3 linked regions of the Cricetulus griseus genome follow. The protein of the gene in region 1 interacts with the protein of each later gene in a pairwise test. Links are inferred from orthologs where the notes say so. Each region holds a gene or a part of one and is shown in the gene's direction. Other genes may lie near its edges.

Region 1 (3,694 bases):
TGCTGTTCCGGAGGTCCTGAGTCCAATTCCCAGCATCCACATGGTGGCTCACAACCATCCGTTATGAGACTTGGTGCCCTCTTCTGGTGTGCAGGGATATATGCAGACAAAAAATAATAAATAAAATACATAATAAATAAAACAAAAAGTAAAAAAAAAAAAGGAATGCGATGACACCACCAAAAGAACTTGCATTGGTAAGCCCCAGGAACACAGGGGCGATTACTAAAGCCGTTGAGGGGTGGGAGCTTTGAACCTTGTGTGGGTCCTCAGCTGTGAGTCTTCTGGGAGAAGAGACACAGAAAAGTTCCAGTGGGGGAGAACACCAGGAAGTGGTGTCCTAAGACCCGGGACACCAGTACATCTGGCGCCCCCACCAGGTCAGGCATGGTTCAGAATAGATCCCGCACTAAAGTGGCCGCCGAGATGCCAAGGCCTCGCAGCTGTTCTGTGTACCCTTCTGGATCTGTGTCCACCTTCTTTTGAGGAGTCTGTGCGGCTCACGCGTTTCTCTCCGCCCGTGTCCCTCCGCAGCCTCTCGGTCTGAGGCTCCCTGGGGCTGCCTTCCCACGTGCGGTCCCTCCCCGGCTCAGGCTGCCAGCTCGGCCTTCGAGCCTGCCTCTGCGCGCCGAGCCGTTCGCGGGAAGGACAGTGGGAGGAGAGGAGGGAAAAAGGAGGCGGCGCGGGCGGGGAGCGGGTGGAAGGTGGCGATTGGAGCCCGGGGAAGAAGGAGGGAGCCGGAGGGCGGGAGGAGGTGGCGGGGCGCAGAGGGAGGGAGCCAGCTGAATGCCCGTCCCGCAGCTGCCGCTGTCTCCGCGTGTCGCGGTGCGGCTGGCCTGGCCGGGATGGGCTGGCCCGGGGGCGCCCCCTGCTGCTGCCCCGGTCCGCCGCGCCCCCAGCCCTCCGGGCGCCCCCCACAGGTGAGTGGCCCCGCCACGCCAAGCGAGCGGGAGCGCGGGCGGCGGCCCTCTGCGTCACAGCGCGAGGTGCGAGCCAGGGGCGGGCGCCAGGGGGCGCGGAGCCACCGGGGTCCCGGAACACCGAGCGCGGCGGGATCCCGGAGGCTGGGACTGCCTGCCGCCAGCGCCCTCCCGGTCGGTCGCGGTGAGCTAGGGGGCAGTTTGAGATCCTAGAGGTGACCAGGGGGCGGGGCACGGCTGTGGTCCTAGCTCAGGCCGCCCCGCCTTCCGCGTCCTACTGCGCACTACTGGAGGGTCGGCTGCTCCCTGCGTGCATCCCCAGCTCAAACGACAAACACACTTTTTGAGCACAAGATGCCCGCGGTAGCTGGCCGCAGTGTTTCGGCCCTGGCCTGGCAGAGAGTATGCAAGCGTTTTCTTCTCATGTTCCCTATCTGGGACACTGAGGCACAATGCAGGCACAGATGAAGCTGATCCCTCCTAACAGCCCTAGTCTACTTCTGCCCTGCCTAGACACCCCCTAGGTCTCTCTGGATACATCCCAGAATCCTACCTCTCTTCCCCTCCCTTCTTTCCTGGGCCTCACTCCTCTGTGGCCCGGCTCCCAGCTTCTCATCCAACCACAGCTATTTCCAGGAAGGAGGGGTGTGTGGGTGGGTGGAGGGGTTTCTCCAAACAAACCCAAGGCTTCAGAGTAAGAGGGGGCCCTGCTGGGGGGAAGAAAAAAAAAAGCTCTGGAATATTCCAGGCAGGAGGTGGGAAGCGAAGATCTACGGGATCTGGTAACGCCACCTCAGCCAGCCTTCAGGATCCTTCCAGAAGTACTTCACTCCCCGTGGTGGGGACACTCATAGCTCTTGACCAGCCAATTGCAGTCATTTGAATGGACACTTTTCTAGGTCTGTGCGGGCAGGCAGTGAAAGTTCAATGTGGCCAGAGGATGTCTGGGGACTTTTCACAGAGGAGGGGACTTTCAGTCCCACAAGGAGACAGCAGAAGTAAGGCTATGTGCCATAGATGCAGAGGGAAAACACTGGATGGGGGGAGCCACACTCACACAGGCCCTACAGTGACCCATCTCCCCCAGCAGGGCTGGGTGCTGAATCAGGCCAGGCCCAGTTGCCCACCTGGCCATTGGCCTGGAATGTCCTGGGACACAGCCAGGACTTGGGTAGGGATTACAGAGCCAGTGGCCCTCTCCAGTTACAGTATGGGGGGCCACACCTTGCCACTCAGGTGCCACCCTCTAGCCAGGGTACACAGGTGACAGGCTTCCTAGAGAATTGGAGCATGCAGGAAGAAGGCTCAGGCTTCCCAGTCTGATGGTCTTTCTAAGGTGAACCAGGGAGGAGTAGAGCAGCCCTTCACCTGGATGAACAGGAGGCAGAGGAGGGAACTCCTGTGGAACCCTGTGAATGTAGCCAGAACCGGAGGAGTTGCACTGGGACATTCAGTAAATACCATGCAAATGAGGACGACAAGATTGTACATTCTTTCAAGTGACAGCTACAGCATTCCAAAGGCTGCTGTCCAGGGCTTGAGCCGAGAACCCCCAGGCCATTGACCCTTGTTTTAGGAAGATTGTTCTATCGTTTCCAAGGCCCTATCCACCTCCTTCCTTGACTCCTGGGACAGGAAGTTGGCCCTATTCCCAGGAGGGAAGCAGGAGGCCCTAGAGGGGGTGGAGAATGTGTTGGGAGGGGGCCTCCTGTCCAGTCCTCAGGTCCAGTGACAGCCACAGATGAAGAAGAGCCAGGCCCAGAAGAGCCATGAAGGTAGTGCTCAGGTTTGAATGGGTGGGTGGGTGGGGTCCCAGATACAGGGGGACTAAGCCAGGAACTGTGGGTTTTATCTGGAGCACAGTAGCTGGGGTCTTCAGGTGGAACCTTTCCAGGGCCCTGGGTTGCTCTGGACCACTCACTACTGTGGGCAGCTGGGCTTCTGGCTGGTGCTTGGCCTTGAGGAGGGTACTGCATGATCTTCCCCATCTGACAAGGAAGCTGGCCCTCATTCCTACTTCTTTCACCCTAAGTAGTCTGAGTCCTAGCCTGCCAGGGGTACTGGTTCCCAGCTCCACTCCCTTCCCACAGGAAGTCCCAAGGGAACTTAAGAGTCCAGGCTAGAGACTGGCTGGGGACACAGTGTTCTTCTCTGGCCCTCAAGCCCAGCCCTGAGACCTGAATTCCCACCCTGCCCCACTGACTGATTCCAGGGCTGGATCTCAAGACCACAGACCCCTACACAGGGTGGCCCACCGGGTGAGAGGCAGCTCCAGAGGAGAAGGGGAGAGCCAAAGATCTTGGGCTGACACTCCCAGCAGGGGTAGATCCTGGGAATCTGATCTCCTGGCCTCCCCCACATCCTCCCCCACCCCACTTCCTGGAGCAGCGACCTGCCCCCTTCCCGCCTGCACTTCCCTTCACTTCCAGGGCCAGGCTTCTCCACACACCAGCCAGACAGCCTCCCCTCCACCCAAGGGAAGCGGCTGCCTCGGCCAGGCTGCTTCCAGGAAGCCCCAGGCCAGGCCCCAGCATTGTTCAGGCCCTGCAGCCAAGACCCAGCCAGCCAGACACCATGAAGTCCAGCGGCCCTATGGAAAGGTTGCTCAGAGCCCTGGGGAGGGACAGCAGCCGGGCCACCAGCAGGGTAGGAGTGCCCACCAGCTGGGCAAAGGTGGGGCAGGGTGGAGGTGTGGACAAGGGGGGAGGGCCAGGATTCAGGCCAGACCCTCTTGCTAATTTCAGCCTCTTCTCCTGCTCCTTACCTTGCCTCAG
Region 2 (3,745 bases), on another chromosome or scaffold:
GTGCTGAGTGCCATTAAGTCCCCCTGGAAGACCAAACATGGAGGCTCACATCTGTAATCTCAGTACTGGGGAGACTGAGGCTGAAGGGCCACCAAACCACATTCAAGGCCAGCCTGGGCTATGCTGTGAGACCCTAGGTACACATCTGTGACCCCAGAATTCAGAATGTAGAGGCAGGGGGAGACAGTGACATACAAAGTCCAGGGGAGCCTGGATTAAGGGAGCCGCCTTGAAACTACAGGGCCCTGGAAAGAGGAGGGGGGGTGGGAAGATAGTTTCCACTTCCCTCTGGTGTTGGTTTCCGGTTCACCATTATACCACCATTATCTGCACTTGTGCTATCCACCCTGATTAGTGAAGGAAACCAAGCTTTGAGTGCTCCTGGGTCAAAGTGAGAAACCCAACCCCTGTACCAAAAAGGGCAAGAAAGAGGGTCGCAGCAAGGAAAACCCAGGCAGGCAGGCCTCTTAAATCTAGGGCCCATTCACCGCTCAAGAAGTTCATGAAAGTTGCCCCAAAAAAAGTTCTCTCATTTTGTCCTGGGATATTTTCCTCTTTTCTTTTTTTTTTTTTTCCTTTCTTTTTGAAACAGGGTCCATGTAGCCCAGGACAGCCTTGAACTCTTGCTTCTCCTGCCCCCACTTTCCAAATGCTGAGGTGACCAGTGTGTGTCGCCAAGCCTGGCTTGCGTGCCCATTTTACAGAGGAGGAAACTGAGACTGGCTGGAGGGAGCTAGGGGGAAAAGATGCTGCGGGTAGGAGCCTCTGAGTAGAGCAAAGCTCGCCCGCGGTCTAGGAGGAGCAGCGTGGGAGCACCGAGACCCGCGTCCGCGCGCGGTGCGGCCCCGCCCCCACGGGGGACGTGAAGACGCGGACCCCGCGCAGCGTGGGGACATGTGACCGACTGCAGAGGCCGCGCGCTGCATCCCCGGCCCGGCCGCGCTGCTGCGCAGGACGCGGGGAGGCGCGCGCTGAGGCCGGGAGCACCGCCCCGGGAGCACCGCGGGGCGCGCGAGCAGACACGCAGCCGCACGGCCGGGGCGGGGTCCCCGCGGGGTCCCCAGCTTCGCGCAGAAACGAAACCGAAAGAGGGGACCGAGGGAGGCGGAGCCGCGCCGACGCCACCCAGCCCTGCGGGGCCCGGACCCGGGCGCGGCCAGGTGCGCACCGGCCACCATGGCTCAGGACGGCGTGGAGGTAGGACAGTCGCGCCACCCGAGACAGGCCGCGCGGGGAGGGCTCCGGGGACACCCCGACCCCCTGGGCCGCCTCCCCCTCCGTCCCGGCCGTAGCGGGGCTGCAGGGTCAGAGGTTAGAAGGAAAGGGGGTGACCTGGCCTGCATCCCGGCTCACACGCACGCACGCCAGACCGCAAATTCGCACCCGGCAGGCTGGCACCCGCCGCAGTCTGCACCATCCCCCAATGCCTGGAGAACTTTGGATTTTTCCAGGAAATGGCTTAAAGGGAGGGGGAGGGGAGAGGGTGCGGAGGCCAGAAGCCGGGGTCAAGTTCAGGAGAATGAGGGGCGGGCGCCGCTCCCCAGTCGTCCCCCACACCAGCGCTCACCTCCCCTCCATCCCAGTTGGAGAAGAGCGTCAGGCGCCTCCGGGAGAAGTTTCATGGAAAAGTGTCCCCCAAGAAGGCAGGGGCTCTTATGAGGAAGTTTGGCAGCGACCACACCGGAGTAGGGCGCTCTATCGTGTATGGTGAGTCCGCCCAGGGGGTACTGCGTGGGTGTGGTTGTCGCTCGCTGTAGCGACCCTGGCTCCCCTTGACAGGAGGCTCTCCACCACCTGGAACTCCTACTCACCCTTCAAGAGCCCTTCCCATATTTCCCCACTAGGTGTCAAGCAGAAAGATGGACAGGAGCTGAGCAACGATTTGGACGCTCAGGTAACCTGAACTCCCTCTCTCCTCAAAGAGAGATACTGTGAGAGCCCATCTTGCTATCTAAGTTCCTTCCTTGTCCGAAGCAGCCTGCAAACAGTAGGCGCTCATTATGTGCTGATTGCCTCAGATGGAGGAGGAGACAGGACAGTCGGATAAGGAGGTCCTGGCTGTTGAGGAAGGCTCAAGGAAACTAATTCTACCTTTCACTAGAAGAAAGGCTGGGCTGGCCTGGGGGGGAAAGAGGTCCCAATGGAGGAGAAGGGATAAATTCATAGAATCACTTCTGTGGCTGTACCCTGTGTGCTGAACTTGCTTGAAAGGCTTGCCAAAGTTTTGTTTTGTTTTGTTTTTTTGAGACAGGGTCTCACTATGTAGCCCTGGACTGTCCTGAAACTCACTTTACAGGCCAAGCTGGCTTTGAACTCACAGAGATCCACCTGCCTCTGCCTCCCAAGCACTGGGAATCAAAGGCGTGCACCACCATGCTGGGCACCTAAAAGAATCTGACAAATCATATTCCTTTGGTTTAGGTCTATAAGGAATATGACAAATTAATAATAGAAGGAAGTTGCCTTCATGGAGAGAGCCTGAGGGGCAAACCTCCAGGCCTTGGTTCATTTCATATCCCTTTCTTCTGCTTCCGGGAGGCAATCCTATTACACAAGAAAGCTCAGGCTCATGACATTTCACCAAGTTCTGGGGACCAGCATTTGACTTCAGGGATTCAAATTCTAGCCATTTGCAATGAAGCTCGGGCTCTGAGAGGCCCTTCTGTGAGAACCCTCAAAGAGAGGGACTTGCCCACCATCCCCATCTGGGAGCAATAGAGCAGCCAACCGGTTGCAAGCCCCCAAACTGGAGCCTTTTAAAGCCATGTGGCCAAGGAGCTGAGAGATACCTCAGCTGTTGAGAGCACTTGCTGCTCTCACAGGGGACCCTAATTCCATTCTCAGCACCTACATGGGACAGTTCACAACCACTCCAGTTCCAGGGGTATCTGACACCCTCTTCTGGCCTCTATGGGCACTACACATATGTACATGTACACAGACATACACATTTTTAAACTTTTTAATCTTTAAAAGCTATGTGGCTTCAGTGGCCAGGTGTCACATGTGTGGCCTCTGCAGATTGAAAGGTCATCCAGGGCTCTGGGTTCCATGGGCCACGATCACTGAGTGGGTTCAGATTCTGGGAAATGAGACTAGCCAAGTATTTGCTTCTTAAGGATCTTTGGGACTTCATTCATTGTAGGCACTGGCTCTATCTGTCAACACAGGCAATAATGTTTCATCTCTGTCTGAAGTCCAGGAGCCCCATGCAGGGGCTTCTCCCCCATTCAACATGGGTATAGGACTCCTAGATAGAGCCTTTCCAGTCTCTGTACTCCTTTTCCGTGTCTCCCCTCAGGACCCACCCGAGGACATGAAGCAAGACCGAGATATCCAGGTGTGTTTTTTGGCTGGGATGAGGCAGGATGGATAACTGTCCAAGGTATATAGCAGTAAGGATGGTCGCTGTGGGCTCCACAGGCAGAGGTGACCCTGTTTTGTCCCCATTCATCCATGTTTCAGGCAGTGGCCACCTCTCTGTTGCCCCTGACAAAAGCCAATCTTCGAATGTTCCAAAGAGCCCAAGACGACCTCATCCCTGCCGTGGACCGACAGTTTGCCTGCTCCTCCTGTGACCACGTGTGGTGGCGCCGTGTGCCCCAGAGGAAGGAGGTGGTACCCCAGACTTACTGGATTCCCTCCTGTACTCCACTCCTGTTGTCTGTGTCCAGAAATTATTTTTATGACTGAAGGTCATCAGCTGCATGTGTGTGTTCATTCATGCATTCATTTGTGTGTGTGT
Region 3 (3,745 bases), on another chromosome or scaffold:
TAACCTGCCATCAGTGTCTTGGTGATTTTTCACAATAGTCATTCATTTAACAAGTGTCTGATCATTCATTCAAGACCAGACATGGTATTAAGGTAGGCAAAACAAAGGTGTTTTATTAAAATTTGATCATAGCCAGGCAGTGGTGGGCAGGTGTGTACCTGTAATCCCAGCACTCAAGAGGCAGAGGCAGGAAGAGTTCCCGGTCAGCCTGGTCTTGGGAGTGAGTTCCAGGACAGCCAGGGCTACACAGAGAAACTCTGTCTTGAGTATCTCACCCTAAAATAAAAAAGATTGATCCTAGTGGGGGTGGAAGAAATATGTTGGGAGGGCACGGCTGGAGTTGAGCAACGTGGAATGGCAGGAAGCAAACTGGAACTGTTGTAGAACAACGACCTACAGCAGGCAAGACATTCAAGTCAGACACAGAGGTGTTGCATTTCAGAGCCTGTAGTGGCCTGGTTGTCACCAGACTGTGGCCCTCCTAAAGCATTAGTTCCACGTGTGCCAAGTCGGATCACCTAGGGCAGGAGTTATTCAGTAACCCATTTGATGGTCACCTCACCCTGGGTCATGCCTTTCCTAAGCCACCTGATTTATCAGGGCCCTGTGGCTCGCAGTCACCTGAGGGCCACGCCTCCCTGGCCAGACAAGCCAGCACGTTACGCTTTGTTCCCAGAAACAGGTTTTCATAACGCTGTTCCCTCTCGGCTCCGGCTGTTTTCTCGCCAAGTGCGGAACTCCCGGGGGCGGCGGCGGCGGCAGCAGCAGCAGCAGTTGCCTGACTGCGGCTCTGTGGCCCAGGAAGGGCCTGACCCACGGCCTCCTCAGCCTCCTCCCGGAACGCGGGAGCCAGCACGAGTGGCTCACGGAGGGGACCCTCGCGAACGCACTCCTGATTGGCTGCGCCGAGAGACGTCAAAGGGCGGGCCCCGTGGCGGGGGTAGCGCCCGGCTCCGCGCGTGCGCAGAGAGAGTGAGCTGGACCAAGGGGGAGGTGCCCGGCCGCTTCTCCCGCGTCCGCCATTTTGTTGCTGTGGCTATTGGGAACGGGCTGGGTGAAACGGCCTGGGAGGCGCGACTCTTGCTGGAGAAGGCTGCTTCGTGTGACGGCGAGGGTCGGTGCGGGCTCTTGACGCTGCGGAGCCGGCGGGTTCCAGGACAGAAGTCGCTGGAGCCATTCCTGGGCGCCGGGCAGCTGAGAAGCCCGAGGCGGCCTCTGCTACCGCTCGGCTTCGCCCACCTCGACCCCAGGGCTTTGCCCAGTGTTCCCGGGCTTGCTCTTCCCGTGAGGCGGCCCGGTGCAGGCGGGCGGTGGCGGAGGATGCTGCGGGGCCCGGAGCCGAGAGGAAGGTCCTGACCCAGCCCTCTGATTGCTCCTCGAGGTCTTCCGAGAGGCCCTTCCTCGGCCCCAAAGCCGACAGCGGGTAAAGGCTTCACGAGCAGGCGAGAGCAGCAGACGCCGCCCATCCCCGGACCCAACACCATGTCGTCCGCCAGGTTTGATTCTGCAGACCGCTCTGCCTGGTACATGGGGCCAGTGTCTCGCCAGGAGGCTCAGACCCGTCTCCAGGGCCAGCGCCATGGCATGTTCCTAGTCCGGGACTCCTCTACCTGCCCCGGGGACTATGTACTGTCCGTGTCCGAGAACTCGCGTGTCTCGCACTACATCATCAACTCCCTGCCCAACCGCCGCTTTAAGATCGGGGACCAGGAGTTTGATCATTTGCCGGCCTTGCTGGAGTTCTACAAGATCCACTACCTGGATACGACCACCTTAATCGAACCAGCGCCCAGGTACGCGAGCTCCTGCTGCCCTGCTCGGGCTGGGAACCAGACCCGATGCGGAGGGTCGGTCAGAGATTTAATTTTGGGGGTGGAGGGAGGAGTTGAATTGCTTTCCCTCATTCTAAACCAGAAGGAAGACATCGGATTGGAAGGCCAGTGTCAGGATCTGGGTCACTGGATGAAAGGATGCATTTTTATTTAGACATTTAGTGGTGATTGTATTGTTCAAATGCACCCACCGACACACATACACAGTTTTGTCACTTTAGCTGACTAATACTAATGCATAATTATTATTGTTATTATTATTTATTTTACTTGTTTGGTTTTTCGAGACATGGTTTCACTGTGAAATAATCTTGGCTGCCTTGGAACTCATTCTGTAGACCAGGCTGGCCTCGAACTGCCTCCCGAATGCTGAGTCTAAATGTGTGCGCCACCACCGTCTGGCTGCAGAATTCTTTTAACATTAAAAAGTATATAGACGTCCTTGAGATTCTGAAGCTAGCCATGGCTCTCTCCTCGAAAATTCTTGTAGTTTACACACCATTTAAGGTTTTAGAACCCCCTGCATCTCAACAGCTAACTGCAGGTTAAGAACTGGCTTGCAGCCTTTGGAAAATCGTTAAAATGAACCGAAATCGTAGGAATTTCAGAATCTGATGCGCAATTTGAAGTAGCCCCCCCCTTTAAAAAAAAAAAAACTAGAATTTCAAAGGAAAAAGACTGAGATTATATTTGAGGAAATTTGTACCATCTCTCCCTGGTGGGAAGTATATTTATCTTAATTCTACATTAATTCAGTTTTAGATTTTTGGGGGGTGGGAATTAAATTTAGTGGTTTAACATATACTTTAAAGAAACTGAAGTAGAGCTGCGTGAGAGAGATGCACACCCCTAACCGCCTAAGGAAAAGAGGACCTTGAGTTCCAAGCTTAATTGCGCTATAGCAACAACAAGAAAGTAGACTTCAAAAAGTATTTCACTGCCTGGTATATTTCTAAGCCATTTTCTAAAAAGGTCTGGGGATTGAGTTAGACTTCTCAGGGTGAGCTGACTTCATAGAATTGCTAATGAGGTAATTTGCTCTGAACTTTGAAGATGAAAAGGTACTATACTTAATTAAGGATACCTACTAAAAGTAAAAGGGTTTCTTTTTTAGGATAGAAGAAGTAAAGCTGTGATGGTACAAGGAGTGTAAAGTTAACTGGCAAAATCAATGGAGTTTAAAAAACTGTAGTGAAGGGGCTAGGCTTGATGACTTAGTGAATGAAAGTTGTTTGCAACAAAAGCTTGATGACCTCAGTTTGATTCCCCCAAACCCACATAAATGTGGAAGGAGAGTCCTTTCTTTAGCCTCAGTGTGTGTCCCATGGCAAGTGAGTATCCACACACACATCAATAATTTAAAAAAAAAAAAAGTAAAACACAGAGAAAGTGACTGTAAATAGTAATCTATGTTATGGAGATGAGGACACTGAGAATTCTGAAACATGAGGGTCCTAGTAGCTGGTGGCAGGTGCTGTCAACTTTAATAATTTTGGATAGCTTGGACAAACTTAGGAAGTATAATGTTTGGTAAAGCCAGGCGGTGGTGGCGCATGCCTTTAATCCTAGCACTCCTGGTCTACAAGAGCTAGTTCCAGGACATCCTCCAAAGCAACAGAGAAACCCTGTCTCGAAAAATAAAAAACAAAACAAACAAAAAATAATAATAATGTTTGGTAATATATTTGAGTAAATTTCTTCTCTCCTTTGTGAAAGTGGATTATATTATTGACCTCAGGCCTTTATTAGAACATGCTTGCAACAATGTAACAGGTGTTGGAGAAAGTCTAAGTTAATTATTAGATTCCCCTCAAGGAGGAAAAGTGTGCTGGAGTGGCTTCCTGTTACCTACAAAATCTAATTCTATTAAGTGTGTCTTCTCAGGTACCAATTTTCTGTGTTACCAATGTAAT

What was found.
Region 2: the proteins of Tns2 (region 1) and Shfl interact in binary tests that used the Homo sapiens proteins (3 or more experiments, as listed by UniProt). The link is inferred for Cricetulus griseus from reciprocal best matches to the Homo sapiens genes TNS2 and SHFL.
Region 3: the proteins of Tns2 (region 1) and Crkl interact in a two-hybrid assay, tested with the Homo sapiens proteins (2 studies listed by BioGRID and IntAct). The link is inferred for Cricetulus griseus from reciprocal best matches to the Homo sapiens genes TNS2 and CRKL.

Annotation. Positions count from the first base shown.
Region 1 is NC_048595.1:398,500,774-398,504,467, forward strand, and holds the start of Tns2 (tensin-2), read left to right. Parts: upstream 1-760; 5' UTR 761-845; coding exon 846-920; intron 921-1,009; exon of another isoform or gene 1,010-1,104; intron 1,105-1,610; exon of another isoform or gene 1,611-2,689; coding exon of another isoform or gene 2,690-2,695; intron 2,696-2,779; exon of another isoform or gene 2,780-3,494; coding exon of another isoform or gene 3,495-3,566; intron 3,567-3,694. UniProt on the Homo sapiens protein: Tyrosine-protein phosphatase which regulates cell motility, proliferation and muscle-response to insulin. Phosphatase activity is mediated by binding to phosphatidylinositol-3,4,5-triphosphate (PtdIns(3,4,5)P3) via the SH2 domain.
Region 2 is NC_048597.1:133,744,329-133,748,073, forward strand, and holds the start of Shfl (shiftless antiviral inhibitor of ribosomal frameshifting protein), read left to right. Parts: upstream 1-1,176; coding exon 1,177-1,197; intron 1,198-1,583; coding exon 1,584-1,707; intron 1,708-1,844; coding exon 1,845-1,894; intron 1,895-3,301; coding exon 3,302-3,340; intron 3,341-3,465; coding exon 3,466-3,615; intron 3,616-3,745.
Region 3 is NC_048597.1:71,867,997-71,871,741, reverse strand, and holds the start of Crkl (crk-like protein), read left to right. Parts: upstream 1-1,046; 5' UTR 1,047-1,482; coding exon 1,483-1,793; intron 1,794-3,745. UniProt on the Homo sapiens protein: May mediate the transduction of intracellular signals.